Linked DNA regions of Macaca fascicularis. The protein of the gene in region 4 binds, or shares a complex with, the protein of the main gene of each other region. Links are inferred from orthologs where the notes say so. Each region holds a gene or a part of one and is shown on either strand. Other genes may lie near its edges.

What was found.
Region 1: STX4 (region 4) and STX5 share a complex: the UniProt entries of both Homo sapiens proteins name them as parts of the SNARE complex. The link is inferred for Macaca fascicularis from reciprocal best matches to the Homo sapiens genes STX4 and STX5.
Region 2: STX4 (region 4) and VTI1B share a complex: the UniProt entries of both Homo sapiens proteins name them as parts of the SNARE complex. The link is inferred for Macaca fascicularis from reciprocal best matches to the Homo sapiens genes STX4 and VTI1B.
Region 3: STX4 (region 4) and BET1L share a complex: the UniProt entries of both Homo sapiens proteins name them as parts of the SNARE complex. The link is inferred for Macaca fascicularis from reciprocal best matches to the Homo sapiens genes STX4 and BET1L.
Region 5: STX4 (region 4) and BNIP1 share a complex: the UniProt entries of both Homo sapiens proteins name them as parts of the SNARE complex. The link is inferred for Macaca fascicularis from reciprocal best matches to the Homo sapiens genes STX4 and BNIP1.
Region 6: STX4 (region 4) and STX18 share a complex: the UniProt entries of both Homo sapiens proteins name them as parts of the SNARE complex. The link is inferred for Macaca fascicularis from reciprocal best matches to the Homo sapiens genes STX4 and STX18.

What each region holds. Positions count from the first base shown.
Region 1 is NC_088388.1:11,216,115-11,221,022, reverse strand, and holds the start of STX5 (syntaxin-5), read right to left. Parts: upstream 3,016-4,908; 5' UTR 2,880-3,015; intron 2,434-2,879; 5' UTR 2,285-2,433; intron 2,189-2,284; 5' UTR 2,170-2,188; coding exon 1,945-2,169; intron 1-1,944. Other genes in the region: TEX54 (testis-expressed protein 54), read right to left, coding at 3,299-3,805; WDR74 (WD repeat-containing protein 74), read right to left, coding at 3,939-4,118, 4,585-4,641, 4,758-4,903. UniProt on the Homo sapiens protein: Mediates endoplasmic reticulum to Golgi transport.
Region 2 is NC_088381.1:135,576,603-135,581,442, reverse strand, and holds the start of VTI1B (vesicle transport through interaction with t-SNAREs homolog 1B), read left to right. Parts: upstream 1-1,752; 5' UTR 1,753-1,906; coding exon 1,907-2,021; intron 2,022-4,840. UniProt on the Homo sapiens protein: V-SNARE that mediates vesicle transport pathways through interactions with t-SNAREs on the target membrane. These interactions are proposed to mediate aspects of the specificity of vesicle trafficking and to promote fusion of the lipid bilayers.
Region 3 is NC_088388.1:85,566-90,526, forward strand, and holds the start of BET1L (BET1-like protein), read right to left. Parts: upstream 3,067-4,961; 5' UTR 2,990-3,066; coding exon 2,971-2,989; intron 1,725-2,970; coding exon 1,633-1,724; intron 1,350-1,632; coding exon 1,293-1,349; intron 1,151-1,292; coding exon 983-1,150; 3' UTR 1-982. Other genes in the region: RIC8A (chaperone Ric-8A), read left to right, coding at 4,498-4,581, 4,918-4,961. UniProt on the Homo sapiens protein: Vesicle SNARE required for targeting and fusion of retrograde transport vesicles with the Golgi complex. Required for the integrity of the Golgi complex.
Region 4 is NC_088394.1:29,213,708-29,218,654, reverse strand, and holds the start of STX4 (syntaxin-4), read right to left. Parts: upstream 3,061-4,947; 5' UTR 2,803-3,060; coding exon 2,773-2,802; intron 2,596-2,772; coding exon 2,494-2,595; intron 2,405-2,493; coding exon of another isoform or gene 2,383-2,404; coding exon 2,283-2,382; intron 2,147-2,282; coding exon 2,072-2,146; intron 1,635-2,071; coding exon 1,564-1,634; intron 1-1,563. UniProt on the Homo sapiens protein: Plasma membrane t-SNARE that mediates docking of transport vesicles. Necessary for the translocation of SLC2A4 from intracellular vesicles to the plasma membrane.
Region 5 is NC_088380.1:179,966,420-179,971,162, forward strand, and holds the start of BNIP1 (vesicle transport protein SEC20), read left to right. Parts: upstream 1-1,473; 5' UTR 1,474-1,485; coding exon 1,486-1,569; intron 1,570-3,832; coding exon 3,833-3,925; intron 3,926-4,743. UniProt on the Homo sapiens protein: As part of a SNARE complex may be involved in endoplasmic reticulum membranes fusion and be required for the maintenance of endoplasmic reticulum organization. Also plays a role in apoptosis.
Region 6 is NC_088379.1:8,513,496-8,518,210, reverse strand, and holds the start of STX18 (syntaxin-18), read right to left. Parts: upstream 3,079-4,715; 5' UTR 2,995-3,078; coding exon 2,827-2,994; intron 1-2,826. UniProt on the Homo sapiens protein: Syntaxin that may be involved in targeting and fusion of Golgi-derived retrograde transport vesicles with the ER.

The DNA.
Region 1 (4,908 bases), on a different chromosome or scaffold from region 4:
ACGCCATTGCACTTCAGCCTGGGCGACAAGAGTGAAACTCCCATCTCAAAAATAATTAACTGGCCGGGCGCGGTGGCTCAAGCCTGTAATCCCAGCACTTTGGGAGGCCGAGACGGGCGGATCACGAGGTCAGGAGATCAAGACCATCCTGGCTAACACGGTGAAACCCCGTCTCTACTAAAAAATACAAAAAAACTAGCCGAGCGAGGTGGCAGGCGCCTGTAGTCCCAGCTACTCGGGAGGCTGAGGCAGGAGAATGGTGTAAACTCGGGCGGCGGAGCTTGCAGTGAGCTGAGATCCGGCCACTGCACTCCAGCTTGGGCGACAGAGCGAGACTCCGTCTCAAAAAAAAAAAAAAAAATAATTAATTAAATAAATAAATAATTAGAAAGCACTCCCAATTTTTTTTTTAAGAGGAGCTGAGTGCAGTGGCTGACACCTGTAATCCCAGCACTTTGAGAAGATGAAGAAGGTGGATCACTTGAGCACAGAAGTTCGAGACAAGTCTGGGCAACATGGTAAAACCCCGTCTCTACTAACAAAACAAAAATTAGGCAGACATGGTAGCACATGCCTATAATCCCAGCTACTGAGAAGCTGGAGGCAGGAGGGCTGCTTGAGCCCAGGAGGGCAGATGTTGCAGTGAGCCGAGATAGAACCACTGCACTCCAGCTTTGGTGACAGAGTGAGACCCTGTTTCCAAAAAAGGAGAGAGAGGCTGGGCGCAGTGGCTTATGCCTGTAATCCCAGCACTTTGGGAGGCTAAGGAAGGCAGATCACCTGAGGTCAAGAGTTCAAGATCGGCCCCACCAACATGGTGAAACCCCGTCTCTACTAAAAAAAAAATACAAAAATTAGCCGGGCACGGTGACGGGCACCTGTAATCCCAGCTACTCCAGAAGCTGAGGCAGAAGAATCGCTTGAACCCGGGAAGAGAAGGTTGCAGTGAGCTGAGATTGCACCACTGCACTCCAGTCTAGGCGACAAGAGTGAAATTCCTTCTTAAAATAAAAAAAAAAAAAAAGAGAAAGAGACTGGGCCTCGCTCAGCCTTCTAAGTAGGTGGGACTACAGGCACATGCTACCACGTCCAGCTTTTTTTTTCTTTTCTTGTAGAGACAGGGTCTTTCTTCATTGCCCCTGCTGGTCTCTAACTCCTGGCCTCAAGCGATCCTGTGGCCTAGGCCTCCCAAAGTGCTGGAATTACAGGTACGAGCCACCACATCCAACCCTAAGTTATTTTGATACAAATTACTGGTCTAGGGCCAGGTGTTTGTGTCCAGACCAACCTGGGCAACATAGTGAGACACTGCCTGTACAAAAAAAATTTTAAAATTAGCTGGGTGGTGCATCCATGTAGTCCCAGCTGCTCAGGTGGCTGTGGAAAGAGGATCCCTTGAGTCTAAGAGTTCAAGACTGCAGTGAGCTATCATCACGCCACTACACTCCAGCCTGTTGACAGAGTTGAAAACAGATCTCAAAACAAAACAAAAACAACAAATTACTGATCTAGAAAATGTCCTTAATGTTACAGAGATAAAAACTAAGATGTAACTAGATTAATTTTCTCATGGTTACAGAGCAAATTTATGGTAGAAATATATTGGAAAATTCAAGGTGCGTGTTTCTCAGCTAAAGGCTCTTCCTAGAACTTGTTCCTTATTCACACCAATTATATTACAGCCAAGTACTCTCTGAAGTACTCCCTCCAGAATAGCACTTCTGCCCTCCAAGGGATTCCTCCTAAAAAAAGGTCTAAGTCCTTGCCTCTAGTTAGCCAGCCGACCTCTTCTCTGTTGCTTACAGCAGACCCTACTGGCCCCATCCAAGCCTATCAGTTCCATCAGGTACCCCCAAGAATTACTTCAGTTAACAGTGGTGGAGCACAGTCCTTCCTAGATTTGAGTATGGCTCACTCCTCGCATTTTCCACTCCAGGTCCTTACCTGACGGGTCTGCAGCGACTTGCAGGCAGACAGAAACTCCTGGGTCCGATCCCGGCAGGACATGGTGTCGGGAGGGGGAGGGACGAGGGCCACTGGGGGGGGCAGAGGGGCGATGTCGCTGCTGCTACTGCCAGCAGGTGCAGGGGACAGGACCTGTGTCTTTGAGAGACCCAGGTAGACACCCTGATCCGTGTTCTTAGACCCGTAGCGTTTCCGCGGGATCATTGAGACGCATAACCTCGGACTGTTGTGGAGGGGAGAGTGTCATTCCCCAGGCAGCTTCTTTCCCCAAACTCCCCCGCCCCACCCCAATCAACAAATCCTCGAGCCCCTTCCGCACTTCTCATGGACTTTCGCGCCCAAGACGCTCGCAGATCCTGGGGCGGGCCAGCAGCGGAAAGGGCTCTGCTTTTCCCCTGTCCCAAGTCGAACCCGCTTCAGACTCTTCTTCCAACTTGGCTCCGGCGGCCAGAGCGCGGGCCGGGGGCCCTGAAGCAGAGACAGGGCCAGAGCCAAGTCCCGTGGCCCTCAGACTGCGGCCTGGCCCGTGTAACTGCCCCGGGCCCTAACCCAGTCCCTTCGTTTCCGTGGTTTCCTTCGGCCCCTCGGGGGGGGGCCGGTGACGGACCTCCAAAGACTGACACACTTCGGTGGGCGGAGGGGGACACCTCTGGGTGTTTATTTGAAACAGGAAGTCCCACCCCCGCCCAAGGTCCGCCTTCTGGAAGACTTCAACCACTCATTAGCTAATGCCGACGTCTCTCTCAACAGAGGCTTTCCTGATTGGACGGCAAGGAATTCGCTCACCAGGAGCCGGGCCGGCAGGACTTGCCTGCTTGCCCCTGGTTCCCTTCCCCCTGCCAGTCGTCGCCCCTGTAAAACCACTGCCCCAGAGCTGACACGGTGGCCAGACCCCCTCTTAGAGCAAGTCTTACCTCCCCTCTGCTGCCTGTCGCCGCCGCCACTACCAATCTCCCCGGCCGTCACTGCCTCCTCCCTGGGCACTGAGGCCGCCGAAACCCGACCAGACTGGAAGCGGCCACGTCACCTACACGTAACCCCACCCCCGGTGACGAGGGGGCGGTCCCACGCATTTTCAAGCCAGGCGACCCGAAAGACACGCCCCACATCCAAACGCAAGAGCGACCCCCCCTCCCATTGGCTAAGGCGCTGCCGTGACCCCGCCCCTGAGTACTACAGCGGGAGCCCAGGGGGCTGGGCCCGCCTCCGGGGAGGAGCCTTAAAGAACCAGCTGCCCGGCGGTGTCCGCGCCCGTTTCCCAGAGTGGTGGTGCAGGTACACGTTAGAAATTTTATTCTCTGGAGGTTGGGGCTGACTAAGAGCAGGTCTGGGGTCATCCCTTCTCCGGCTCCTCCTGGTTGCCTTCTCGGATCGGACGCTCCTGTTTCCGAGTCTGATCTGATTGCCTCTTGCTTGACGGCAAGGAGTCCCGACCACTGAACATTGATGACCTAATCTGGTCTGATTGTCTCTTGCTTGACCGCGAGGAGCCCCGACGACTGAACATGGATAGTCGCCGCCACAGCACGGTGATCAGAAGGCTTTCGTTCGACTTATGATTCCGATGGTCCGGGGAGTTCAAGTCGATACCTTCGGCGCCTGAGGCGACGAGGCCTCTGAGCTCACCCCTACCCTCGGGAAGCCCCTTCTCACACTCCCTGGGCCCTCTGTGTGTGCCTCTGGTCCCATCTTCCCTGACGGCCTCAGACTCTGCCTCCTTGGACTGCTCATCCGACATCTCAAAGTCCTTGTCTTGGCAGCAGCCCATGGCCCCTCGGGGCCCCGGACTCCCTGCCACCCACGCCAGCCTACCTGCCTCCAGGCCCGGCTTTTGTGACATCAGATATCCCGTCGCCCCAGCTCAGGGAGCCCCCACCCCAAGCTACCCCTCATTCCTTTCTCCCATCACAAAAGGCTCAGGGTCATGGTGGATGTTCAGCTGTTTATTTACAAAGTGGGCAGGCACAGGGGCGTCAGGGGCTGGTGGACCCAGGCCGCTTCTTCTTTCTCCGTCTGGTTTGGAGAGCTCCTTGGGTCTGCTCCAAATCCGAGAGCTTCCGCTTGGCAGCTGCCTCCAAGGATGCCCAAAGTTCGTCTGTCTCTGTGTCTTCTAGGGGCACCTTGTTGGGTTCTTGAGGCTCTTGGGGCTCATCCTGGTGAGTGGGAAGAAAGTGTAGGAGTCAGGGGGACTGGGCATGGTAGCTCCCACCTGTAATCTCAGCACTTTGGGAGACCAAGGCAGGAGGATTGCTTGAGCCCAGGACTTAGCGACCAGACTGGGCAACATAGGAGACCCCATCTCCACAAAAAGAAGTTAAAAAAAAAAGAAAAAGTAGTCAGGGGCACAGGGACAAACCCACAGGGAAGGAGACCCTGGCTGAGAAATAATCCCTCTGGGTATCACCACCTTTATTCCCTGCTCCCAGAAAGCAACCCCATCCATGCTCTTGGCAATAACCCTCAGGATTTTAACTGTTAATGCCTCTCAGAGAAATTAAGTGACCAGGCAGGTAAACAGATAGTCCCAGGTCTGCATTCCAGCTGCCTCCTTTTCCTCTTCATAGGGAGATCCTCACATCTATGCCCTTAGCTCCCACATTCCCAGACCCAACTGCTCACCTCCCAGTTGTCCCTGCCTGACAGGAGGAGGCAGTTCAATTGAGACTTGAGATAAACCTGCAAAAGATGAAGGACCTTAAGGAGCTAGGCATGCTGAGACAGAAACATGAAAGGGGACAAAGGAGGCGGAGCCTCCATAAGACCATGAGTTTGGGGTGGGAGAGACGACTTACCTTATGCTCCAGACCCCGTGGATTCTGGATCCTGTGTATCCTCAAGACTCTGTCCAAGCCACAGGAAGCTAGTAGAGGCTTTGAAGGGTGGCACTGCAACCCACGGACACTGCCTGCCAGCCCCTTCAGACAGCCCAGTAGACGCCCTAGA
Region 2 (4,840 bases), on a different chromosome or scaffold from region 4:
TACTGTGACAAGTCCCAGCATTGTGTTGTGGGACTTACACAGTATACTGACAGTTACCTCAGACTTGGTCACGTCTGTGCTCAGTGCATATTAAGAGCTCAACCAAAGCGTGCTGAATCAACAGCCAATGAACTTGATCTAATAAAAATGAGGGCCCAGGAGATATAAATTAGCAAAGCATTTTCTCCTGAGCATTCATACATCTTTTAATATTTGTAGGCAGTTTAAAATTGAGCTCCCAAGCAAACATTTGAGAACAGACACCTTGAGCAAACCGTGAAATCGGTGAAAATAAGAATTTATTTTAATTTTTTTGAGATAGGATCTTGCTTTGTCACCCAGGCTGGAGTGCAGTGGCATGATCTCAGCTCACTGCAACCACTACCTCCCGGGTTCAGGTGATTCTCCTGCCTTAGCCTCCCGAGTAGCTGGGATTTACAGGCGCCCACCACCACGCTCGGCTAATTTTTGTGATTTTAGCAGAGATGGGGGTTTCACCGTGTTGGCTAGGCTGGTCTCGAACTCCTGACTTAAAGTAATCCGCCCGCGTCGGCCTCCCAAAGTGCTGGGATAATGCTTGAGCCACCATGCCCAACCTGAAGACCGGCATTTATACCCATGGAGTGCAGGAAAGGACCTTGTAATTGTTAACAAGTGACACTTAGTGGCAGATGAGACCTAATGAAGCCAGGCCCACCTTCCACACCAGATTATAAATTCCCCCGGAGCAGAGAGTAAATGTTTTATTCACCAACATGCCCAGATCCCTCGCAATGCCTACGCTTGACAAACACCTGTTGTGAACAAGTGCACGAGGCAGCCTAGCAGCTAGAGTATTTCGAGGTCATCCTAACTGGGTTCCACTTTTGAATTTTTGTTTTTTGGGTTCGTTTGGAGACAAGGTCACCCTCCACTTGGGAGCAAAGTCTCCCAAGCTGGAGTGCAGTGGTGGGAACTCTGCAATCTCAACCTTGTGGACTCAAGTAATCCTCCTGCTTCAGCCTCCGGGGTAGCTGGGGCCAAAAGTGCGCGCCACCTTGCCCGGCTCCTATTTTGGGTTTCCGGTAGTGCTCTCGCTATTGTGACCAGGCTGGTCTCGAACTACTGGGTTCAAGCAATCCTCCCACCTCGGCCTCCCAAAGTACTGGGATTACAGACGTGAGCCACTCGCCCGGCCGAGTTCCACTTCTGAAAGCTTGGGGAGCCGCTGGGCCTTCCAGGAAAAGTGCTCCACCTCCCGACTGCAGGCAGAGCCCCCGGCCCGGCTCTTTCCAGGGCCTAAAGCTAACATTCGGTCAAAACGCGAAATGCGGAATTCGGGTCAGGGTGGCAAAGCAAAGCGCGATGACAGTGAGGACGACGTCTAGACGCAAACACACATCAAATCGGGCCGAAGCCCGCTGTCGCCTCGCGGGCTAAACCTGGCACCCCGGGCAACGCGCGACTCCGGCACCAGACGCTCTCCGAGTCAAACTACATCCCCCGGCGTGCACTGCAGCGCCCGCCCCTGGCCGGCCGGCGGGGCCCAGGAGGAAGGCGGCCGAGCTGCCCGTCCCGCAGGTCCCCTAGGGCCCTTTCTCTGCGGCCTTTCCCCACCCCGGACCGGGCACTTCTCGGGCTCTGCGACTACCATTCGCCCCGCTCGCTCCCTCAGGAGTCGCCTAGGCCGCGCAGTCTGCTGCCTTCCCGTCAGGCCTTCGCGCCGGCGCTCCCGCAATCACGGGCTAGAGAGGGTGGGCGTTCCGGCTCGGGAGGACCCTTCTGCGGCCCCGGAAGAGCCTCGTCCTGGGCAGCGGTGGTGCGGCGGTCGCCGTTATGGCCACGGGACTGGGCGGCTGACCGCCGGGCTAGGAGAGGGCCCAGAGCCCCGAATCTGGGTGGCCGCTGCTCGAGCGCGTCCTGCGCCATGGCCGCCTCCGCCGCCTCCTCGGAGCATTTCGAGAAGCTGCACGAGATCTTCCGCGGCCTCCATGAAGACCTACAAGGGGTGCCCGAGCGGCTGCTGGGGACTGCTGGGACCGGTGAGGCGCGGGTGGGCCACGCCGTGGGGAGCGCGGCCCCGCGCGCTTTGGAATTTTCCCCCACCTTCCTCCCAGACCCGGGCCCGCGTCTCCTTCCTCCGCGTCCTCAGACACGCCCCCTAGGGCTGGCTGGGTCGCAACCCCGGGTCTCCCTGCCACTGAGAGTGAATTGGGGACGCGCCCAGGGACGCGGGGTTCAGTTCCCTGGGTTCCTTCTATGGCCTTCCACATTTTCTCGTTTTTTTCCACTGCGGCAAACAGAGCAGAGGGGCTTTTACATCTGCGGTCCTGTAATGTAGCGTGGGTTTCTTTCGTAGCTGTTTTTGTTTGTTTTATGCATTTAGAAGCACTAGTCTCAAGACAGGTCTAGTTTTCACCAGACTGACAGAGGATCTGTAGCACAGAAAAAGGGTTAAAAACCCAAAAGAGTCATAATTTGGGGCGTTGGTATATACCTGTTATTGGAGGGTAGAGAGCTGGCCTTTAAAACCTTATGGTGGCGTTTAGATGTGGTCTTGTTTTGAACGTTTTTACTGCTGCGACTATTTACTACCCCTTCATTTCATGGTTCAGGTTGCTACAAGTTTTGTCTGGAGGAGCTAGAGTTTTCCGGCCCTAGATCCATAGGAAGACCTGCTATATATAGTTCTTGGCCTCCGGATATGTAGAACTTGATGGCAAGGACAAAACTTTGTTTTATTGCTTTTATTTAAGGATCAGAGCTTGAGTGTTTGCTCAACGAATTACTCAAGGTCATAGGAATTGAATGACTCTGGTGAGAATGAAATGCATGTATTTAATATATATTTATTGTGAGGCTGCTGTGTGCCAGGCACTGTTCTAGGTGCTGGTGAATATTGCAAATTACAGTGAAAAAGACATGCACGTCCCCATTCTAGTGGGTAGGTGATAAACAATATATAACTATTAAGCGGCAGTGTTAAAGAATACAGGAAAATAAGAGTAAAGGAATAGGGGATGGGACTTCAGTTTTATTTTATTATTATTATTATTATTTTTGAGACAGAGTCTTACTCTGTCATCCAGTCTGGAGTGCAGTGGTACGATCTCGGCTCACTGCAGCCTCCACTTCCCAGATTGAAGCAATTCTCCTGCCTCAGCCTCTGGAGTAACTGGGATTACAGTTGCGCCACCACCCCTGGCTAATTTTTTTTGTATTTTTAGTAGAGACGGGGTTTCACCATGTTGGCCAGGTTGGTCTCTAACTCCTGACCTCAAGCGATCCGCTTTCCTCGGGACTTCAGTTTTAAATAGGGCGGTTGTGAAAGTCCTCTGTGAGGAGATGGCATTTGAACTGAGACTTGAATGAAGAGAGGGAGTAAACCAGAAATCTGGGAGAAGTGAGTGTCAGAAGGAGGGAATAGCACTGCAAATGCCCTTAAGCGGAAATGAGCTTGGTGTGTTCAACGAAGAGCAGGAAGTTCCATGTGTTTGGGATGAAGTGAGCAAAGGAGAGAGGTAGGCAGGGCCAGATCATGTAGGGCCTTGTGGACCATGGTGAAAGACTTGTGCCTTTTTCTAAATATGATGGGATGCAGTTAAAATATATTGTGCAGAACCATTGTGGGATCTGATTTATGTGATTGAAAAGTTGACTGCAGGCAGGGCACGGTGACTCACACCTGTAATTCCAGTGCTTGGGGAAGCAGAGGCGGGCAGATCACTTGAGGTCAGGAGTTCAAGACCAGCCTGGCCAACATAGTGAAACCCTATCTCTACTAAAAATACAAAAATTAGCCAGGCATGGTGTCAGTTGCCTGTAGTCCCAGCTACTCAGGAAGCTGAGGCAGGAGAATTGCTTGAACCCAGGAGGCAGAGGTTGCAGTGAGCCGAGATCCTGCCGCTGCACTCTAGTCTGGGCAACAGAGCAAGACTCTGTCTCAGAAAAAAAAAAAAAAGGAAAAGACTGCAGGCTAGGCGTGGTGGCTCACACCTGTAATCCCAGCACTTGGGGAAGCTGAGTTAGGATTATTGCTGTATTGAATGATTTTGAGACCAGCCTGGGCAACGTGGTGAAACGCCATCTCTACAAAAAATACAAAAATTAGCCAGGCATTGTGGTGCGTTCCTGTAGTCCCAGCTCCTGGGGAGGCTGAAGTGGGAGGATCACTTGCGCCCTGGAGCTGGAGGTTGCAGTGAGCCAAGATCGCACCACTGCACTCTAACCTGGATGACAGAGCAAGACTCTGTCTAAAAAAAAAAAAAAAGTAGACTGCATTTTCAACCTGGCACTGAGTTAATTTTTGCATTGCCCATTTCTATAAGGCTAAATAATGCAAAAGAACATTGCTTGAAAAATAGAAAATTGAATTCATTATTACTATGGTTTGAATGTCCCCTCTAAAACTTATGTTGAAATTTATTTGCCATTTTAATCGTGTTAAGAGGTGGGACCCATAAGAAATGATTAGACGATGAGGGCTCCATCCTCAGGGATTGGATTGTTATCCTGAGAGTGGGTTGGTTGCTGAGAGAGTGGGTTAGTTCAGCCCTCTCCTGCTTGCCTGCTCTCTTGATCTGTTGCTCTTCCACCTTCTGCCATAGGGTGACACATGGGTAGCAAGAAGGCCCTTGAAAGAATCAGGCCCCTCAGCCTTGGGCTTCCCAGCCTCCGGAACTCTGAGAAATACATTTCTTTTCTTTATAAATTACCCAGACTCAGCTATTCTGTTATAGCAACATAAAGCTAAGATAGTTACATTCACGTTTGTTGTCTCCCCAGCCTTTTTCTCCATCCTGCAAAGAGGACAGTCGGAAATATGTGATTTTTTTTTTTTTTTTTTGAGACAGAGTCTTGC
Region 3 (4,961 bases), on a different chromosome or scaffold from region 4:
CTGGGGACAAGGAGGATGGCACAGAACGCCATCACAGCCAGAGGAGTCTGGCAGGGCTTGGCAGAGGCGCCAGAGTTACCAGCAAGCTAGATGGCAACAACTGATAGCCTCTCAGGAACCTTCTTGTGTAGACCCACAATGGCTCCCCGGCCCTGCCTGCTTTGCCTGACTCTGAAATGCCAGAGAGGCCCATTTCTAGGTCTGTTCTTCTGAAAACACATCTCTGGTGCTGGGTAGATTCTGAATCCTGAGAATACAAGTTTCTGCTCCTGGATACACAGTCACAGGACCCAGAAGGATCCCACCCAGTGGCTAGGCCAAGGCTGCAGTCCACTCCTTCATCCACAACCCGTTCTCCCCAGGGGTCTCACTTCATCCGCAGGACTGGAGAGTAGGCACAGAGAACTCACAGCAGGGTGGCCCGCACTGGTCTCCTGTGCTCAGCAACCATGGCCAGGAGTAACTGCCATCTCCAGGCTGAGAAGCCTCAGTTGGAGGAGATAGCACCCACTTAGGGTTCACAGCCCCTTCCTGTGTCAGTTCCAGGAACCTTGGATCACAGACATGGCCTCATCCAGACAAGGACACGACCGTGGAGCCTTCAGATGTCAGCGTCCCAAGAGCTGGGAGAAAGGCTGCAGGCCACAGGTGGCCACGCCTGGGATTCAACAGTTGCTCTGCTCAGACCTGGCTCCTCCAGACACGCTGCGGCCCCAGCTCTGCTTGTGTCTCTAGCATCTGGGGAAGGGGGGAGGGGCTGGGCCTTGGTTTCCCCGAAAGAGTCCCTTCCACACATGGGACCAGCCAACATGAGCTCATCAGGTCACAGGCAGCCGCAGCCTCCTGCCACACAGAAAGGATTCCTGGCCCACGATTATAATTTCAAAGGAGTACTTTGCAGGTAAGTCCTCTGGAGCCCAAGATGCCAGGCAGGGAAGACAATGGCTGCCCTTGGCACCCACAGACACCAGCTCCCACTGTCTCACGTCCTTGCCCTCGACAAGAAGTAGGAGAGGATGAAGAAGGCCACAATCAGACCCACAGCCATGCCACATAGAAGCTTCCGGTTGTCTCGTCCGGACCTTGCCATTGCGGAAAAGCGCTTCACACTCCCTGTAAGCAGGCCGGTCATGCTTGTGAAATCCGAGTCCTAAGGGAAGAATCCCGGCAAGATCACACAGAAGTGGTGATTTGACCACCCACCCGCACCAGTGCTGAAGGAGACACTGCAAGCTCTGTAGCAGGTAGTGCTGGGGGCAGGGCACTGATTCGCGCACACCGTGGGCCCTTACCATGCCATCCAGGTACCGGTTCTGATCCTCTGCATCCCTATCGATGTCCAGGGCGAGCTGTTCAGCACACAGAGAGGGCAGGGTTGGGCCAGAGCAGACACATAATACAGCACTCACCCTTCCCAGACCAGACAAACCCTGCCAACAACTCTGCCAGACACAGTGGGGCAGCAGCAGGAAGGTCCAGGTGTCAGCTGGGGCCTCATGCAGGTGAGCACAGCCACGAATCGAACGAGGAGGACGGCAAACTGCCTGAAACTCCTCTGGGCCCTCTACCTTCCCTCTGATCCCCATTCCCCAAGGGCACCAGGTGGAGGTAAGAGGACAGACCACCACTGACCGATTTGAGCCTGGTGACTTTGGAGGCCAGGCTGTCGGCCATTCGCTTGTTCTCCCGGTCTAGAATCTCTTCCACAGCGCCCGGGCTCTGAGCTGAGAAAAGAGAGGGGCTGAGTGATTGCATCCATCGGGGAGCGAGGCCTCTGACCCCTCTCACTCCAACCACAACTGGGTGAGTCAGAAATCTAGGGGCCCTAACCTAGGTTCCAGCAGGTGAATCTTGCACATGTGAGAGAGACTGCATAAAGGACGATGTGTGCAAGGGCCTGTCATGTGAACACGTGTCCTGTGTACACATCCAGGTGGGGATGGGCCAGCACCCACAGTGGGTTCAGTCCAACCAGCACCTTCTGAGACTGTGTAGCAAAAACTGGGCCCAGCTCTGGGATGTTAATAAGATGTGACACTTGCATCCAGGGAGGTCGCCATCTGTGTATGTGGAGCCCATTCTTATAGAAAAAGAGTAAACTCTGCTAAGAGCATAGGAAAGACTTGGGAAAAGTACCCAGCAGGGCAGCAGAAAGGCTCCTGCAGGGACGACCTTTGAGCTGGGTCCTGAAGAGGTGGCAAGGAACCAGGACAGAACATTGGGAAGGCCCTTTACCGCACAGAAAACAGCTGAGCAAAGTTCCCAATTCCGCGAGATGGGAGCTGAGGTCGACCAGGAGCGTGATCCCTGGTCTGCATCCCACACAGGGCTTCCTGCAACACCCAGGGCACAGCGCTTGCAGAGGCCCGGCCTGTGACAGGCTGGGCCAGGTGATAAGGAATTTCTGTCACCTCAGGTGGGTGAGAACCACCTTCTCCCTAGCTTCAACGTTAAGGAAGGGATGCCAGCGTCCTTCCAACCACTTCCTGTTCATTAATTCCTTTACTCATCATAACTCAGACAGGCATCAATATCCCACTTTGCAGAGAAGAACACGGGCTCCAGGAGGGGAAATGGGGCCACCGAGGCCCAAGTTAGTTAGCAGAGGCCTGCCTGGACACCAGCGGAGCACAGCCTACTCCGAAGGCCTGGCCTCGGGACCTGTCGAATGCCGAGACTCCCGCTCACCCTGAACCCATGCAAAACGATCTCACAGGGAGCGGCGGGGAGTGGGGGGACCCCGCAGCTGCGCGAGCCCTCGCTGGAGCTGCTGGGCCGCCCCGCCCGCCGTCCTTCCTAGCGGCAGTGCTGGCCGAAACCCGGCCCTGCTGGGACCCGGAAGGATCCGAATCCGCCCCCCTGACAGGGTCCTCCCCGCCGAGGCCAGAGGCAGGCGCACGCGGCTCTACAGGCAGCGGCGTCGGTTCCGGCCCGGCCCTGCCCCCAACGGCTCCGCTCTCCCGCGCTCACCCCGAGCCCAGTCCGCCATCGTGCCCTGCCCCGGCTCCTCGACGCCAACACCGACGCGGCCACAGCCGCCTCAGACGTGGCGCAGTCACGGGGAACGGGCTTCCGGCCCCGCCCCCCGCCAGCGATGGCCCCGCCTCCGCGCCAACCACGCCCCTAGATGGCGTCGGGCTCGCTGATTTCCGGCTTAGGCCCGAGGGTGGGGAACCGCGGGGTCGCGGAAGCGATGGGCGTCGCTGTGACTTATTTTCAGCACTGTCGCCCAGGCAGTGGCGCGATCTCAGCTCACTGCAGCCCCCGCCTGCCGGGCTCCCAAGGTGCTGGGATTACAGCAGCACCGCGGATGTGACGTTTGTTTGTTGTTCCTGTGAACGTGGGGCGGGGCGGGGCCGTTTGCTTGCTCAGTGCCAAGACGATGGTGGTGGAAAGACGCTGCCATGCGTTAGGTCCTAACGGTTAGGAAGGATTCACAGGCGGGTCATGAGGGAGGAGTAGGCCCCTCGGGCAGAAGCCCGCGAGGAGCCCTGGGTGTGGAGGGGGCAAGGGTGCCTCCTCTGTCAAGTGGAGATCGGCGCCTCGCTAGTGCCTGCGAGTGCGCGCCGCGTCGAATACAGGTGTGCGGAAAGCGCTACAGGAAAGTGAAGCAGGGAAAGAGACTGGGAGGCGGCACGGGGAGTGGGGGCCGTAGACGCCTTTGCTCCCGGGCACTTGTTACAAGAGCCAGTGGACCGCGCTTCCTGTGCGTCACTGAATCCTCCTGATGGCCACTGAAACGGACACGCAGGATCTTTGCTTGTCAAGAGGGAACTGAGTCCAGGCCAGACTGCGTTGCTCCCCTTTCTCTCGGCCCCTCACGGCCCTTCCACCTTTGCAAGTGCTGCTCCTTCTGCCTGGAGTGGCTCCTCCAGTCTTTTCCCGGCTCGCTTCCCATCGTCCAGTGTTAGCAAAAACACCACTGCCTCACAGCCCTTGCAGCCCAGCAGTCACCTTTTGCTTCTTTTGAAGCACAGCCCTGTGACCGCCTCATGTCCTTTTGTTTTTCCTTGTCTGCCTTCCCCTCTGGAACATAAGCTCCACAAAGGCAGGGGCCTGGGAGTCCCGTTCGCTTGCATTCCCCAGCAAACGCCTAACGAACCCAATGGCCCGGGACTGAAAAGTCCTTTCCACTTCGGCTTTCCCGTCTACATCCCATCGGTTCTGTGGAGCTCGAGGGGCGTCACTGTGTGTGTGGCAGGGCGCGGTGGGGGCTGAGATCCTTTCCTGTTGGAAATTCCGGCCCAAGAAGCCCCGGTCACAAGGAGGGGGATCAGTCCGGTTCAGGGCGACTTGGCCCGACTCGGGTCTTCCGAGCCGCCAGTGCTGCCTCAGGCCGCGCCCCCTTGAAGCGCCACCAGACGCCGCGTCCCGTCCCGGCCTCCCCCGCGCGCTGGCGCGGGGCTTTCTGGGCCAGGGCGGGGCCGGCGAACTGCGGCCCGGAAAGGTTGAGGAAGGGCCCGTCCCGCCTTCCCCGCGCCGGGTTCCGGGGGCGCCATGGAGCCCCGGGCGGTTGCAGAAGCCGTGGAGACGGGGAAGGAGGATGTGATTATGGAAGCTCTGCGGTCGTACAACCAGGAGGTGAGCGGCCGCCTGAGGCCGGGGGGCGGGCACGGAGGGGGTGGGGCAGGGTCGTGCGCGGGTGGTCGGGACGGTGTGGGTGAGGCAGGGGTTGTGTCAGCAAGCAGAGGGGACGCGGCGGCGTGGGGGTGGCACGTCAGGGATGCAGTGTTGGGGGGAGAGTGTCTGGGGTGCACCCGTTGGGTGGCAGGTGTGTAGGGATGGGGGCGAGTGTAGACCCTGCCACCCCTTCTGAGCAGTGGCTGCTGCCTGAGTTAGAGGCCAATAGGCCGCCCCCCGTCAGCGGGCGCGGATACTGCCCCTCTGTGGACTTGAATTCACTCGTTCTCTCTGCAGCACTCCCAGAGCTTCACGTTTGATGATGCTCAACAGGAGGACCG
Region 4 (4,947 bases):
AGGGAAGTTCCATGAGGATAGGGATCATTGATTCACTGCTGTACCCTAAACAGTTCCAAAAAGGTCTGGCACACAGTAGGCACCCAATATGTAACTGCTGAATGCTTGCTGAATGCCAACCTTGCTGCCTACACCACAGTTCCTATGCCTAGAGATGAACATGCTGCCTGGGCGAAACAGGTGCAACAGGCCCACATGGGCCCTCGACCACTCATGCCAATCACCACCACAGGCTTCCCCAGAAACACTGGCTCTGGGGCATCTGCTCTGCCTTGCCCCTTCTCCTGAGACCTTAAATATGCTCATTCCTTGGAGTTCCTTTTCCAGAGATACATCTGCTCTCCTGGTTCCAGCTGCACCCTTCCAAGATGCCCAAGCTGTTTCATCTTCAATCTGGGGTCCTTGCTGAGCCCTGGGCTCAACTACTCCAACCCTGACCTCTTGGTATCCTCCTCACTGGGGACACAAAGAGGGCCAGTCAGATCACTGCAAATCTCCTTACTAAGATATCACCCCAGGGGCCGTGCACGGTGGCTCATGCCTGTAATCATAGCACTTTGGGAGGCCAAAGCAGGTGGATCACTTGAGGACTTGAGGTCAGGAGTTCAAGACCAGCCTGGCCAACATGGTGAAACCTCATTTCTACCAAAAATATAAAAAACTAGCCAGGTGTGGTGGTGTACGCCTGTAATCCCAGCTACTTGTGAGGCTGAGGGAGGATTATCGCTTGAAGGAGGTGGAGGTTGCAGTCAGCCAAGACTGTGCCACTGTACTCCAGCCTGGGCGACAGAGAGAGACTCCATCTCAAAAAAATAATAATAATTTTTTAAAAAAAGATATTACACCAGGGGAGTTCCTCTTCAGTGTCGCCCCAGGGAAGTTCCACTTCCTGACTTCTTGAATTCCACCTGTGGGACTAAGGATGTCCCTGTCACACAGATAGCAAACCTGCCAGTCAATTTGTGACTTCTCACTCTCCTTCCCTGGGCAGCGCCATTAGCCACCAGATCCCACGTGAGTAATGTCTTTATCCCCTATTGAACCCTAACTCCTCATGTTGACTCCTAGAAAACACGTGTCCCAGCTGGGCGCAGTGGCTCACGCCTGTAATTCCAGCACTTTGGGAGGCCAAGGCAGGAGGGTCACCTGAGGTCAGGAGTTCGAGACCAGCCTGGCCAACATGGGGAAACCCCGTCTCTACTAAAAATACAAAAATTAACTCGGCATGGTGGTGTCCGCCTGTAATCCCAGCTATTCAGGAGGCTGAGGCAAAAAGAAAAGAAAACGTGTCCCACAGTCAAGCCTAGGTCTTGTCTGGGGTCAATAAGTAACTTCTTATTGAATGGAAGAAAATAAAGCAGGGTGTTATAACCGGACTGAGCATCAGGAGACCTGGTTTCCTGACCTTGAGCAAGTTCTTTCTCTCTCTGAGCTCAGGTTCCCCACTTGGAAAAATCATCCAATTGGACTCCATGACCTCTACAGGCCCTTCCTTCATACATCTGTCATCTACTACTTCATGAAACATTTGCTGAAATGTCATTTCTGAGAAAAAAAACCCACCTGGGTTTTTCTCATTCTTGTGTTGATGGAGTTATAGTTCTCATCAGCTTCCTCCTTCTGGGGCTCTATGGCTGTGGGAAGACACAGGGGTATTGGGGGTACTTGTCTCCATAGGATTTTTAGGGAAATATAATTTATCATAAAATGACTAAGGCTGAGCCTCCAAGAGGAGAAAGTAAGTTTATTTTTCTTTGCATTACATCACTTGAGTTCCCGTACGAATGCAGAGGCCACCTAACAAAACCCCATCTCCCTGCCCAAAGAATGCCCCAGTGGGCAGTGATAACTGTGTAAGTAAATGGTTTCATTGTAAATAAAAGAACCTGAGAGACTGCCTTGTGCTGTGGAGAGTACAATGGCCTGGAGGCCAGAAGACAGAGATGCTAGAACCAGGCCTGCTGTGTGACCTGGATATATCACTGGCTTCTCTGGGCCACACACTCCCCAGATATACCAACAACAGGGCAGGATCAGAGGGAAGGATCTGCCTGAGGTCCCAGTAGCTCACCCTTCAGCTGCAGGCGGATCTCCCTCCCCAGCTGTTTGATCTCGTCGCGCAGGTTCTGCAGCTCCTGCTTCATGCCTGAATAAGAGAAGGCCACGACTCCCAAACAGCAGCCCCCACCTCAACAAACCACCCTGGCCACCACCTGCGTGGAACTACAACCCCCACAATCCCTGGGGCGGAGCATGCGCTATGCAGCCGGGGTTTCACTCACTCTCCTCAGGAAGGGGCGTGGCCAGGATGGTGACCTGCTGTTTCTCCAACTCCTGGACTTTATTCCCCAGCTTGACAATAGTCTGCCGAATTGTCCGGACCTGGGGAGGGTGACCGAGAGGGCTGAAAGAGATATGGGGTACTCCAGACCACGCTGCTCCTCGGGTCCTCCTACCCCCTCGCGAATCCAGGCCAAGACTCCATCCCCTTACCTTCTGGAAGAACTCCTCGTCCGGGCTCCCCAGCCGTGCCGTGCCCGGGTGCACCACCAGCGCGACTCGCTCCTTGTCCTCTTCGTCCGAGCTGTCATCCCCCTGCCAGGCCCGGAGTCATTGGCACCACTGTTTCGCTGCGGCTGTCACCCCGCAGGACCCACAGGCTTCCGGGACTTTCCTTCCTGGCCATCAGCCACCCCTCCCTACCCCGAAGACCAGGAGTCCTGCGTTCCAGTTCGTCCGCGCGCCCCCATCCCCGCTGCCCTGGCGTCTCACCTGCCTCAGCTCGTGGGTCCTGTCCCGCATGGCGGCCTGAGCTCTCCCTCCCCGGCGTCAGACCGGGAGGCCGGCAAACTTGGAATACCCGTACCCCACTCACACTCTGACACTCCCCTCCCTCCCCCTGTGGACCCCAACACCCCCACGAGCCACCAGAGCCTCCGTCCCTTGCACCGCCCACAGTCAATGGGAAGGCGCCGACCCCGGGGACCCCCCAAGGTTCCACAGGTTGGAATTCCCTTTTCTTCCCCCCTCCAGCTCCCGCAGCCTCAGCCCCGCCCCTCCGTGATAAATTCGGGGCATGCGCATATGGTCGCGTCTCTTCCTCGCCCGAGGCGCGGAAGGTGGAGTCGGAAGTTATTGCGCCCCGAGCGGAAGCGGAGCTGCGTGGACGCGAGAACTGGCTACCGTCACCGGAACCGTTGCATCTTCCAACGGAAATCTGGTTGCCAAAAGGGGTAGGAATACGTCATTTGTACGTAATCTGAGGCACCCGCATCTCATATCACCCCATGGTGCCCCCACCGCGTCACGTGAGCAACCCGGTCCCAAACTCGTGGACCGCAGAATGTGACGCTGTGACTGTCACGTGTCCCGGCTCGGTCAGCGCCGTCTCTGGGACGCTGTTTTCATCACGACGTCCCCGGCACTCCGACCACCGAACGACGCCCACACGGCCCCCGCGAGGTGGGGAGGGGCGCGCCCACCACTCCCAGAGGCCTTTCGAGGCAGTGGGTGGTAGGACCCTTGCTGACTTCGCCTTTATTGCTTTCGGGTCCAGGGGCGTGGGCGGACTGACGACTTAGCATTTGGGGCTGTCAGCATCATGGGACCTTGAAAATCGGGAAATAATAGGATCCGAGTCGTCAGCGTCAGAAAATTGCAGGGTTGTGTGGGCAGGGAATCTAGGGGTGGAAAGTGACCTCAGCCAAGGCAGAAACCTCTTCTTCCGCATCCTCCTGGCGCAGCCTCTGACAGGTGGGCAGCCAGCCGGCGCCCTCCTTGAACACTACAGCCCGGCTGCACTCACCACCTTGTGGGCTGTCAGACCATGTCAGGGCAGCTCAGGCTAAGAAAAGTGTCTCTGCACGCTGCCTTCCCTGCCACTCACACCCCCCAGACCCTGCCTTGCATCTGAGGCAGGTAATGACTTTGTTCTTAACTGAATCTGGGGAGTTCCTAGCTCAGTACCAAGCACATTACGGGCCCTCTATAAATACTTGTGGACAGAATCTTAGCCTTTCATGTATCTGAGGATGAAGACCCTGGTTCCTTGGCCTTCTTTAGGCTTCAGTCTTTCTGACTGTGACACTTCTCTAATCCTGGCTATCGAGATATTCACTCATTTTTTATTTTTAAAAATTTTTACAAGATGGGGTCTCACTATGTTGTCCAAGCTGGTCTCTAACTCCTGGGCTCAAGCAATCCTCCTGCCTCAGCCTCCCAAACTGCTGGGATTACAGGCATGCACCACCATGCACAGAACATTCATTTAATGGATATTTTTGGGCACATACTATGGGCCAAACACTGTTCTAGGGCTGGAGATACATCAAGGACTAATAGATAAAAATTCCTGCACTCGTGGAACTTAAATTCTCTAGAAGGAGTCCCCAAGGTCATTTAGTAAGTCTCAGCATAGCTGGGAATGAATAACGGGTCTCCTGGACCCCAGGGCTCTGTCCAGGAAGCTTCTGTGAAGGTACAAGCAAGGAAAGGAATGGACCCTTTCTGCTATGCCCTGGTCAGGAAACCTAGATTCCTGGGACTGGGTTGCTATGGACTTCTGGAAGTTGCTTCCTGTCTCTTAAGTGTCGATCTCCCTCTGCACAGTGGGTAACTTGGGGGGATGGGGAGATCATCTTTATGGGTATGGGCTGCTCTAAACTTCAGTGATGATGAGGTTGGAAACTGTCAAGTGCTGTCTGATTCTATGTGAGGATTTTTGGCTCTTCTCTTCCTGTTAAAACCCAGCTCTAGCAGGGTGCGGTGGCCTATGCCTGCAGTCCCAGCACTTTGGGAGGCAGAGGCAGGCAGATCACCTGAGGCCAGGAGTTGGAGACCAGCCTGGCCAACATGGCGAAACCCCATCTCTACAAACATACAAAAATTAGCCAGGCATGATGGCAGGTGCCTGTAATCTCAGCTACTTGGGAGGCTCAGACAGGAGGA
Region 5 (4,743 bases), on a different chromosome or scaffold from region 4:
GAAGTGCTCCCAAAATGTTGGCTAGTAGTAGAATAACAGCAGCTAACGGGCACTGAGATCTTACCATATGCCACATTAGCACACTGTGCTTGGTGCTTTTCATGTATTATCTCATTTAATTATCCAATCTGTGAAGTAGGTGCTATTGATTATCACCAGTTAGCCTCTGAGGAGACTGAAGCACAGGCATGCAGTGCTGTGGACAGGATTTGAGCCCAGGCAGATGCCAAGCCTGGGATACACTGCCTCTCTATTAGGTGCAGTGGGGTGATGAATACCTTACGAGAGGGTGTGTAGAGGCCTGTAGGAACACAGACAAGCACAGAGCCCTGCTTACAACAGGTGGGAGCCATATTGATTTTTTGGGGAAAAGATGGCTTTCAGTAGAGGCTGTGCCACTTTCAAGATAGGTAATCTTGCGACAGGGTTGATTGGTGGTTATTTTAATCTACTTTCAGCTCATCTCCTGAAGTGTGATACTAGTGTAGTGCAATTTCAAGGGTGGTTGTGAGGATTAAGAGAGATGAACATTCAGGTCCTAAGCATTTAGGTCCTCACAATCTATTCTTGCTGAAGTGACCTGAACAAAAGCAGATGGAGTGGGGTCGAGTCGGGGAAAAGCTTTCCAGGGAGAGGGAACACCACATTCTAAGGCTACACATCCAGAAAGAGCTTGAGCAATCCAGGAAGGGTGCAGGGTGGGGTGGCTGATGACCTTGAGGACCAGCTAAGAAACTTGGATTATTTACTAACAAAAATAAAAGAGCCACCATTTGTTGAGGGTTTCCTCTGACATTTCCATCAAAACTACGTAAATCCATCAAAACTACGTAAATCCATCAAAACTACCCCAGCAAGGTAGATTTAATAAATCCAGTTGTATACAAAAGGGAACCACCAGAAGCCATAGAAGGGCTGCATACAGGGAGGCGACTTGATCAATTTCGTGTTTTACAAAGATCCCTCAGATCATGTGTTGGAGTGATAGGAAGTACTCTACTGACTCTACTGAACTCCATACTTTAAAAAATACATAACATTTATCATTTTCTCTTTTACTCCACAATTTATACTCACTGTAGAAAATATTAAAAATATAAGAAAGTTTGAAGAAACAAAAAAGTGTCACTTGTACTTTCCAGAGACATCTCAATTGATACTTTTCTTCCAGTCTTTTTTTCTATGCAAAAAATATATAGTTATTAGAATGCCTGACAGAAGGAAGATGGAAAGAGACCACTGTGAAGCATTATTGATATTCCCTCTTCTCTTCCTCTCCATGGTATTAAGGCCATACCAAGAGGAGAGGCTGATTTCCCTACACGTGTCAGGGAAAGTCCCAACTCTGCGGCAGGGACCCAAGCTTGCCATTTTCGCCGGTCTCTAGGGGGCGCTGCCCCGAGACTGGGCGGGGAGGGCGAGAAGGCGGTGCGAAAACGCGTTTGAACTTGGGCCCTGCCGCCGCCCGTAACCGGCGTCCCCAACATGGCGGCTCCCCAAGATGTCCACGTCCGGATCTGTAACCAAGAGATTGTCAAATTTGACCTGGAGGTGAAGGCGCTTATTCAGGTACTGATCCCGGGACCCCTGCCAGGCTCCAGCAGCCCTAACCCAAGCTCTGCTGGTCTGTGAGCTCGGTAGTGTCACTCCCGAACTTTCCCCACTTGGTTTCCCAGGCCACCGGCTCCGCCCCATGACCGGCTACCCGCCCTGGTCCCCATTTGGTTGTATCCCCGTGACTGCTGGCCTTGATCCTTTTTCCGGGTGCCGCCGGATCGCCCATCTCCAGAGCACCCAACTGTTCTCCGCCCCTGACCCAGCTACTGCTTCGAGGCTCGGCTTTGCCACTTCCACTTGCAGTCCTGGTCGTCGCCCCGCCCCTGACCTCCTCACAACCTACCTGCCACCCTGCTTGGCCCCGCCCTCTGACGCTGCTTCCCCATTCTCTGGTAGCGCCCGGTAGGCAGCTAGCCCCGCTCCCTGCTGGCCAGCTCCCCTGGCATCCAAGGGCACCTGGCTCGGGAGGCACCAGGTGAAACGAATGTAACCTGGACCGTAGTTGTGATTTTATGCTTGAGGAAATCGAGTACGGCGCCAAGGCCTAGGTTAGAAGGCAGGCCTGGGTCAATGGCAAAACTGGGACCTGGACTGGGAAAGTCAACCTAGGAATAACACCTTAGAGTGTTACCCCGTTTGAACAGAGAGGAAATGAGGTGTTTTCGCCTTAAGCCATTTAAGGGTAGAGGTAAAATAAACGAGTTGACGTAGACAAGAATTAGGAATGTAGACACGGTTCCATGAGTTTAGCAAAAAGAAACCAAGAGTTTTAAACCTTGTTTTTTTGTTTTGTTTTGTTTTGTTTTTTGTTTTTGTTTGTTTTTGAGACGGAGTCTCGCTCTGTCGCTCAGGCTGGAGCGCAGTGGCGCGATCTACTCACTGCAAGCTCTGCCTCCCGGCTTCATGGCATTCTCCTGCCTCAGCCTCCCGAGTAGCTGGGACTACAGGGGCCCGCCACCACGCCCAGCTCATTTTTGTATTTTGTTTAGTAGAGACGGGGTTTCGCCGTGTTAGCCAGGATGGTCTTGATCTCCTGACTTCGTGATTTGCCCGCCTCGGCCTCCCAAAGTGCTGGGATTACAGGTGTGAACCACTGCGCCCGGCCTAAACCTTGGTTTTTAAAGCAAATCATTTTCAACAAAGTCACTAAACATTAGATGTAGACTCAGAGTTTGTAACGAGGGGTGGCAAAAAGTGCAGGAAAGTAGGGCTCCCCAGATAAACCAGATGCAGAATAAACCAAATTAGATGCAGAATAAACAAATATGGTGCAAAGAAGTGTGATTAAATTAATAACCAGAGAAAAAGTGAAATTTGATGCAGATATTTAAAACTTCTCGAACTTCACTTCTCTGATGTATACATTACAAAACTTCTGGGCCAGTTATAGAAAAATAAACTTAGGTTTCATACAAATGAAATCACATTTTCACATAATCTAAATTGCTTAGGCACCCTTCTGTACTCTTTCTAACATTTGGGTTCTTGTGATTGCTGATGAGAAAGATTGATTATAGCTGGATGTAGTGCACCCTTACTGTGTTCCAGCAGCTCTGCTAAGTGCTTTACATACACACATAATCTATGATGTTCTCTGAGGTAAGTAGGGTTGTGATGAGGAAACTGAGACACAGATAATTTAAATAACTTTCCAGGTAACTTTACACAGCTAATAAGTTGCCACAGCCAGGATTCGAATCCACATGGTCTGTCTCCAGAGCCTGCTCTGAAAACTGGCACCAGTAATTCTGAATGTCCAGCAACAGATTCTAAATCTGCCCTTAAACATGTTTATATAAACACTCTAACTTATCACTGACGGTTTGTAAAATCACACTGAAAAAGTTAATCTCATCATATGAGGCCAGATCTTTAAACATCCTCATCTTACAAGTTGAAAGGATCTAAGGTTCTAAAGTTATAGTATAACTTTCGCATGTCCATTCTTGTTGGGCATATAAGCTGTTTTAAGCTTTTTCATACTGGCCAGGTAATGTTTTGTTAAAATTTAGGCACTAAAAATTAGGTCAAAGCAGTTGTGTTTCTTTCTAGGCTTTTATATTAATTCAACATTAATCTAAAGAGGAATGAGAAAAATGCCAATGATAATGTTTTTGCTTGTGTTGCAGAGGTAAACAGCAAAGATCAGGATGAATTATAGTCAGTATCAGTACATTAATATTAGTTGGTCTAAACCAACTCTCTCACTGTATGGATGGTGTCATTTCATTTCATTGCCTTAAGAAAGGCCTTTCATCTGTTCAATGTCTCCTAGGATATCCGTGATTGTTCAGGACCCTTAAGTGCTCTTACTGAACTGAACACTAAAGTAAAAGAGAAATTTCAACAGTTGCGTCACAGAATACAGGTGGGTATTCTCAGAACTGAGATGCTGAGTATCTATCAATGAAGGGGGCTCAGTCCTGGGTGTATCCTCTGCTTGAGAGCCGTCTGGGTTCTTCAAACACCAGCTGATGGGAGCAGTAAACACTTAAGACAGTGAGGGTGACTCTGTACTAACCTGCTGTCCAGGTAAAAACGAGAAACTTTTGCGTGCAGAACACTGCCAGCTGTGTCAACAAGTGGATGGCAGGAACACCATTATCCTTGGAATTTTTGAAACCCTGAGGCCACTTCAAATACTTTCTCTTCTCTACCTTCTTTCTACCCTATTCATTTGTTCACTACCTCAATCCATCACACTCCTGGGTTTTTTTTTTTTTTTTTTTTTAAATGCTGTTACTTTGCTCAGCATCTTCCTTATTTCAGTAGTCACCAGTCACATCATGTACACATTCAATATGCCTGAATTCAACTGTGGTATATGTGCTGTCTCAGAAAACACTAGAGGGTGACAAGTAGCAGTTTCGTTTGTTTGTTTTATTTATTTCATGTTTTATTCTTATTACACTGGGCTGGGCAAAGGGTTGTGCACCACTGTATAGATCATGTTATTCTGTTGCTTTCATTTTTGAAAATGAAAATGAGGCCAGTAGTTTGAGAACAGCCTGGCCAACATGGCAAAACCCCATCTCTACTAAAAATGCAAAAATTAGCTGGGCATGGTGGCACATGCCTGTAATCCCAGCTACTTGGGAGGCTGACGCAGGAGAATCACTTGAACCCAGGAGGCAGAGGTTGAAGTGAGCTGAGATCATGCCACTGCACTCTAGCCTGGGTGACAGA
Region 6 (4,715 bases), on a different chromosome or scaffold from region 4:
TTGAGTACATATAAATTTAGCAAAATTGAACATAAAAGTTAAATGTTTAAAAGAATGATGCAGAAGAAATCAGTCTATTGGTGGGAGGTAGGGAAGGAAGATTTAGTTTCAATGCAATTTTATGAAACTTAATATAACCTTTACAACAATTCAGTGAGATGGAAATCTGGCATCAGGCATGTATTAGAGGAATGGAATGGAAGAACAGAAATTGAACCGGATTAAAACGCATCCTAGAAGTAACAGCAAATGCTTCAAGGAAGGCACTTACCAAAAGGCATACTATAACTTATTACATTTCATTAAGTCTGACAACCAGGGCTAAACCTGAATTAGAATATGTGCTTCTGGTATTGACCAGACTTTTCTGTATAAGGAATCCAGGCCAAACAAAATAACAGGCAAACTTTTGACACATCTAATCATAGTGAAAGCACAGGACATCCATCACTAGCTCTTCTAGTTAAAATTCCCACAAGAGAAGATGGGGAGTGGGGAATGGTTGGAAGAACAGGAGATAATACGCAAAGCAATGACAACACAAAATCAAAATTGCTTAAAAGAATGTATGTTTCCTCTACGTCAGGGGGACAGCGTCCCTGAACAACACAGCCCATGTACTCACTTAAGGTAATGTGACACCTACTCACATCAATACATAGCAGAATTGGAAGTTTCACTGTCACGCGGTCCAAACCTATGACATATGCACAAAGTTCTTCTCAAACATCTCTGAAAAGCAGTCATCACTCTGTTTAATTACTTCCAGTGACAGGGAACTCAGCACCCTACAGGACTGTTACTGTCCCTGAGGCCCATTAACTCAAAAGTCTAAAACACATTTTCACCACTCAGGGAGCGGTGGAAGTGATCACAGGGCTATCCAAAGGGCTTGCCAACTCAACTGTGCCTCTTGTCTCGACCATTCCCAAATCCCCCCTTTCCCTGAGCAGGACTCAAAATTAGCACAGTGTTCATAAATCAGTGGTTTCAGAGTCAGAAGGGACCCTTACAACGCCAATACTGTGATATTCATACCACGGTTCTACAAAAGGAACCCCAGGAAGTGCTTAGGCCAAACTGGGAGGGAGAGTATCCTGTTTCTCTTCCTCTCATTTCAGCCTAGGAAGCTTCCACTTTAATTTGTTATATATAGAGGACCAAGGTAGTTTTTTAAAAGGAGGAGGAGAAAAAAAAGGACCATTTACAGGTAAATAAACTGAGGTCTTGACACTTGCTTAATGAAATCATATAGCTAACAGTTGCAGGGTTCAGACAACAACCTGGTCTCCTGGCTCCTTCTCTGGTACTTTCTCTACCATATAACATCTGACGGCCTAGAGGGCAAAATTCAAACTCCGCAGTGATATACAAAGCCCTTTAAGATCTCTCCCGGTCCAATTTTTATGAGAGTCCCACATACCAGTCTCACTCAAATGTTTATTGAACCAACTTATATCAGACTCTTACACACCTCCACATCTTAGCGCATACTATTCTTTTAGCCTGAGATGCCCTTCTGCACTGGAGCCAACTAATCCTCTTTCAAGATTTGTTTTGGGCATCATCACCTCTATAAAGCCTTTTCTGATCCTCAGGTAGAACTGACCACATTCTTCTTTGTGCCCTACATAACACTTGCAAGGCTTTATGGCACTTGTTTTATGTCTATGTCCGTCTACTCCACTACTCCTTTTACATCATATTACTCTAACATGAGGCTGGTCAGAAAGTAGGTGCTTCATAGATGTTCATCAATAGGGAGAGTGTATTCATCTGGTCCAACCCCTTTCTGATGTTTAAGTATCCTCTGCTAACTGTCATTAATGCATGCATGCATACATTCATTCGAAAATATCTGAGTGTCTATGCAGTGCCAAGTGTATGCCAAGCAGAGTAGGATCTACTGTGAAATTAATGAGGTTTTAGCTTCGGGGTCCCTCACTTCCATCTTCCAAAGCTCTGAATCTCTCTTGGTGATTTTTATTTCTTAAAGACGGCAGACATAACTATAAAAACTTTCGGCCCCACAAAACCTAGATCCCTCCTTGGTGTCACGGACACAAAAGGGAACAAGACAAACATCTCTCCCCTCATGGAATTTTCTGTTTAACGGGAAAGACAGCCATTTTGTTCATTCATTCATTCAACAAACATTTACTAAGCAATGCTATGAGTCATGCATTGTGAGATGAAAACAACTGTCCCTGCCCTTAAGGAAAAGGTTCCTGTTCCCAGAGAGATGAAGGGACACCTGCTCTGATCAGGGAACAGAAAGTAGTTGAGATGACTGTAACACCGTGTTTGCGAAAGATGACCCTAAACTCGTCTCAAGAGGAACTGAGCCCTACTTATCGCGGAGACAAAGGGAAGAAAGAGTTCGGTTGAATATGGTTTTTAATCTCAACTGGGGATGGGAGGCAGACAAGTAAAGAGCACAGGCAAATACGGTGTGGTCAGTTCTGCAACAGGAAGTGAAGGACAGTGAGGTTTCCCGTGAGTGCAAGTCTGTAGTGACGGCGAACTCATGACCTCACAAAGCCGCCCGTGCACTTTCCAGATAGAGATTTCTGAGGGTCTCCTTCCTCGTCCCCCAACCCCCGCCGCCGCAGGAGAAATCTGTTCCCCAATATGCGTCCCCCTTCCTTAAAATAAGGCTGTTCCTTCCCCAAAAAGCTGTCCGGTCTCTGAGGCCAACTCTCCTGTCCCCCTTGGGGCCACCTCCTTCACACAATGCTTACGGGACGGGGTGTGGTTTGGGGCTCGGGGTCCCTGTCGCAGGACTGCCCCCTCCTCAACCCGCCGTTTCCATAGCAACCAGCTCACCACTTCGCGGGCCCGGCTGGAGAAGTCGCCCTTGGGCCGGGGGCTCCGGCGGAACAGCTCATCCCGGCTGCCATCGACCCCGCCGCCCACCGCCACTCCCAGCGCCTTGTTCCGCGTCTTCACGGTCTTGACGCTGGCCCGGAATAGCAGCGTGATGTCCACGGCCATAGCGACCCGTACCCGCAGACCCACACTGGGCCCGCTCACGTAAGCAGCCGGCGACCGCGGCGAGAACCCGGCCGCTGGAGGACTGGTCCTGCCCCGCACTCCTCCCCACCGGCAACTGCGATGCGAGAAGAAAGGTTCCGGCCTGAGCCCCGCTACCGCGGCGGGAGGAAAAAGGTTCCGAACTCAGCGGCGCACCTGGCGGAGGAGGAACCCCGCGACGAGCTCACGGGCACCTCTTTCTCCCGGCAAAGCTTGGAGGGTTTAGCAGTGCGGAGAGCTCAGCGAGCTTTCCTGTGCTTTTTTGGGGCGTGTGGGCTCCGGGAGCGTGAGGACCGGGAAGCTGGGAGGCTCCTTCCCTTCTGGTGGCTCCCTCACTGAGAGCGGGCGGTTTGGTTGCGGGGGACGTGGAGGCGAGCCACCCTTGACCTTTGACTGCAAGGACTCACCTTGAGCAGGACAGAGGCGCTTGGACGGTGACCCTCGGGGTGCAATAAGTGCTGAGACAGAGCAGATGTGCAAGGCATAGAGCTAGAGGCCAGAGGTCTTTCTTCTCCACCCTTCAGTCACCTCTGTAAAGTGAAGCCAGCATCCTCCCCGGAGTTTACTGTGAAAATTAAGTGAGCTGACGCGTGCTGTGTTTTGATGTTGCTTGGCTCCTAGTAAGTGGCCAATAAATGGTAGTAATCGTTAATAATGTTATTATTATAATCACTCGTATTTGTGGTGATGGAAGAGGCTGTAGAGAAAAGGCGTCACCTGTGCAGAGATTTGAAGGATGAATAGGAACTTTAGATGGAGGCAAAGGTGAAAGAGTGGCCCTAATGTCGCTGGATTCTGTTCTTGCTTCATGCATAGTTTTTAATTGTACCGTCTTGAGCCATAGCTATTAAAATTGACAAGTCAGTCAATGAGTTTCTTCTGCATTTTTGGTTCATGGTTCTGTTTTGTGTTGTTTTTTGAGATGGGGGTCTGCTATGTTGCCCAGGCTGGATTGCAGTGGCTATTCAGAGGCGCCATCCTAGCTCATTACAGACTGGAACGCCAGGGCACAAACGATCCTCCCCGGCTCCGCCTCCTGAGTAGCTGGAACTGTAGGCACTTGCCACCATGGCTGGCCTAAGGATATTCAAAATCTCATTGATTTCTTCAAGATTTTTTTTTTTCCATAAAGAGGATGCACAAGTAGAATGTGTATTAAAATAGTGGTTTTAATGGTCAATATAAAAATATTTTCATAATACTAAGATGTTATTTGCCTTTTCACTCTCACTTTCTCATGAGTTGCATACAGTTGAGTTTGCTAGACTGTGATATTGCAACGGAATAAATGCAGAACAGCTGTTTTCTATTAAGCCAGACTTCAAAAAAAAGATTTTCAAAAACATCAAAAGTTTTTAATTTCTCATATAGTGAATGTCGATAATGTCAATATAAACAAAAATTGTTTAGAGCCCTTAATAATTTTTAAGTGTGCAAAAGAGTTGAGACCAAAAGTTTGAGAACCACTGTGTTAAAGAAATAAAGTTTATGAGAAATAGATGTCAAGAAAGTGTATATTTACCAGAAAGGAGGAAGGAAAAGTTTTTTTTTTTTTTTTAGACGGAGTCTTACTCTGTCCCCCAGGCTGGGGTGCAGTGGCACGATCTCGGCTCACTGCAAGCTCCGCCTCCCGGGTTCACCATTCTTCTGCCTCAGCCTTCCCAGTAGCTGGGACTGCAGGC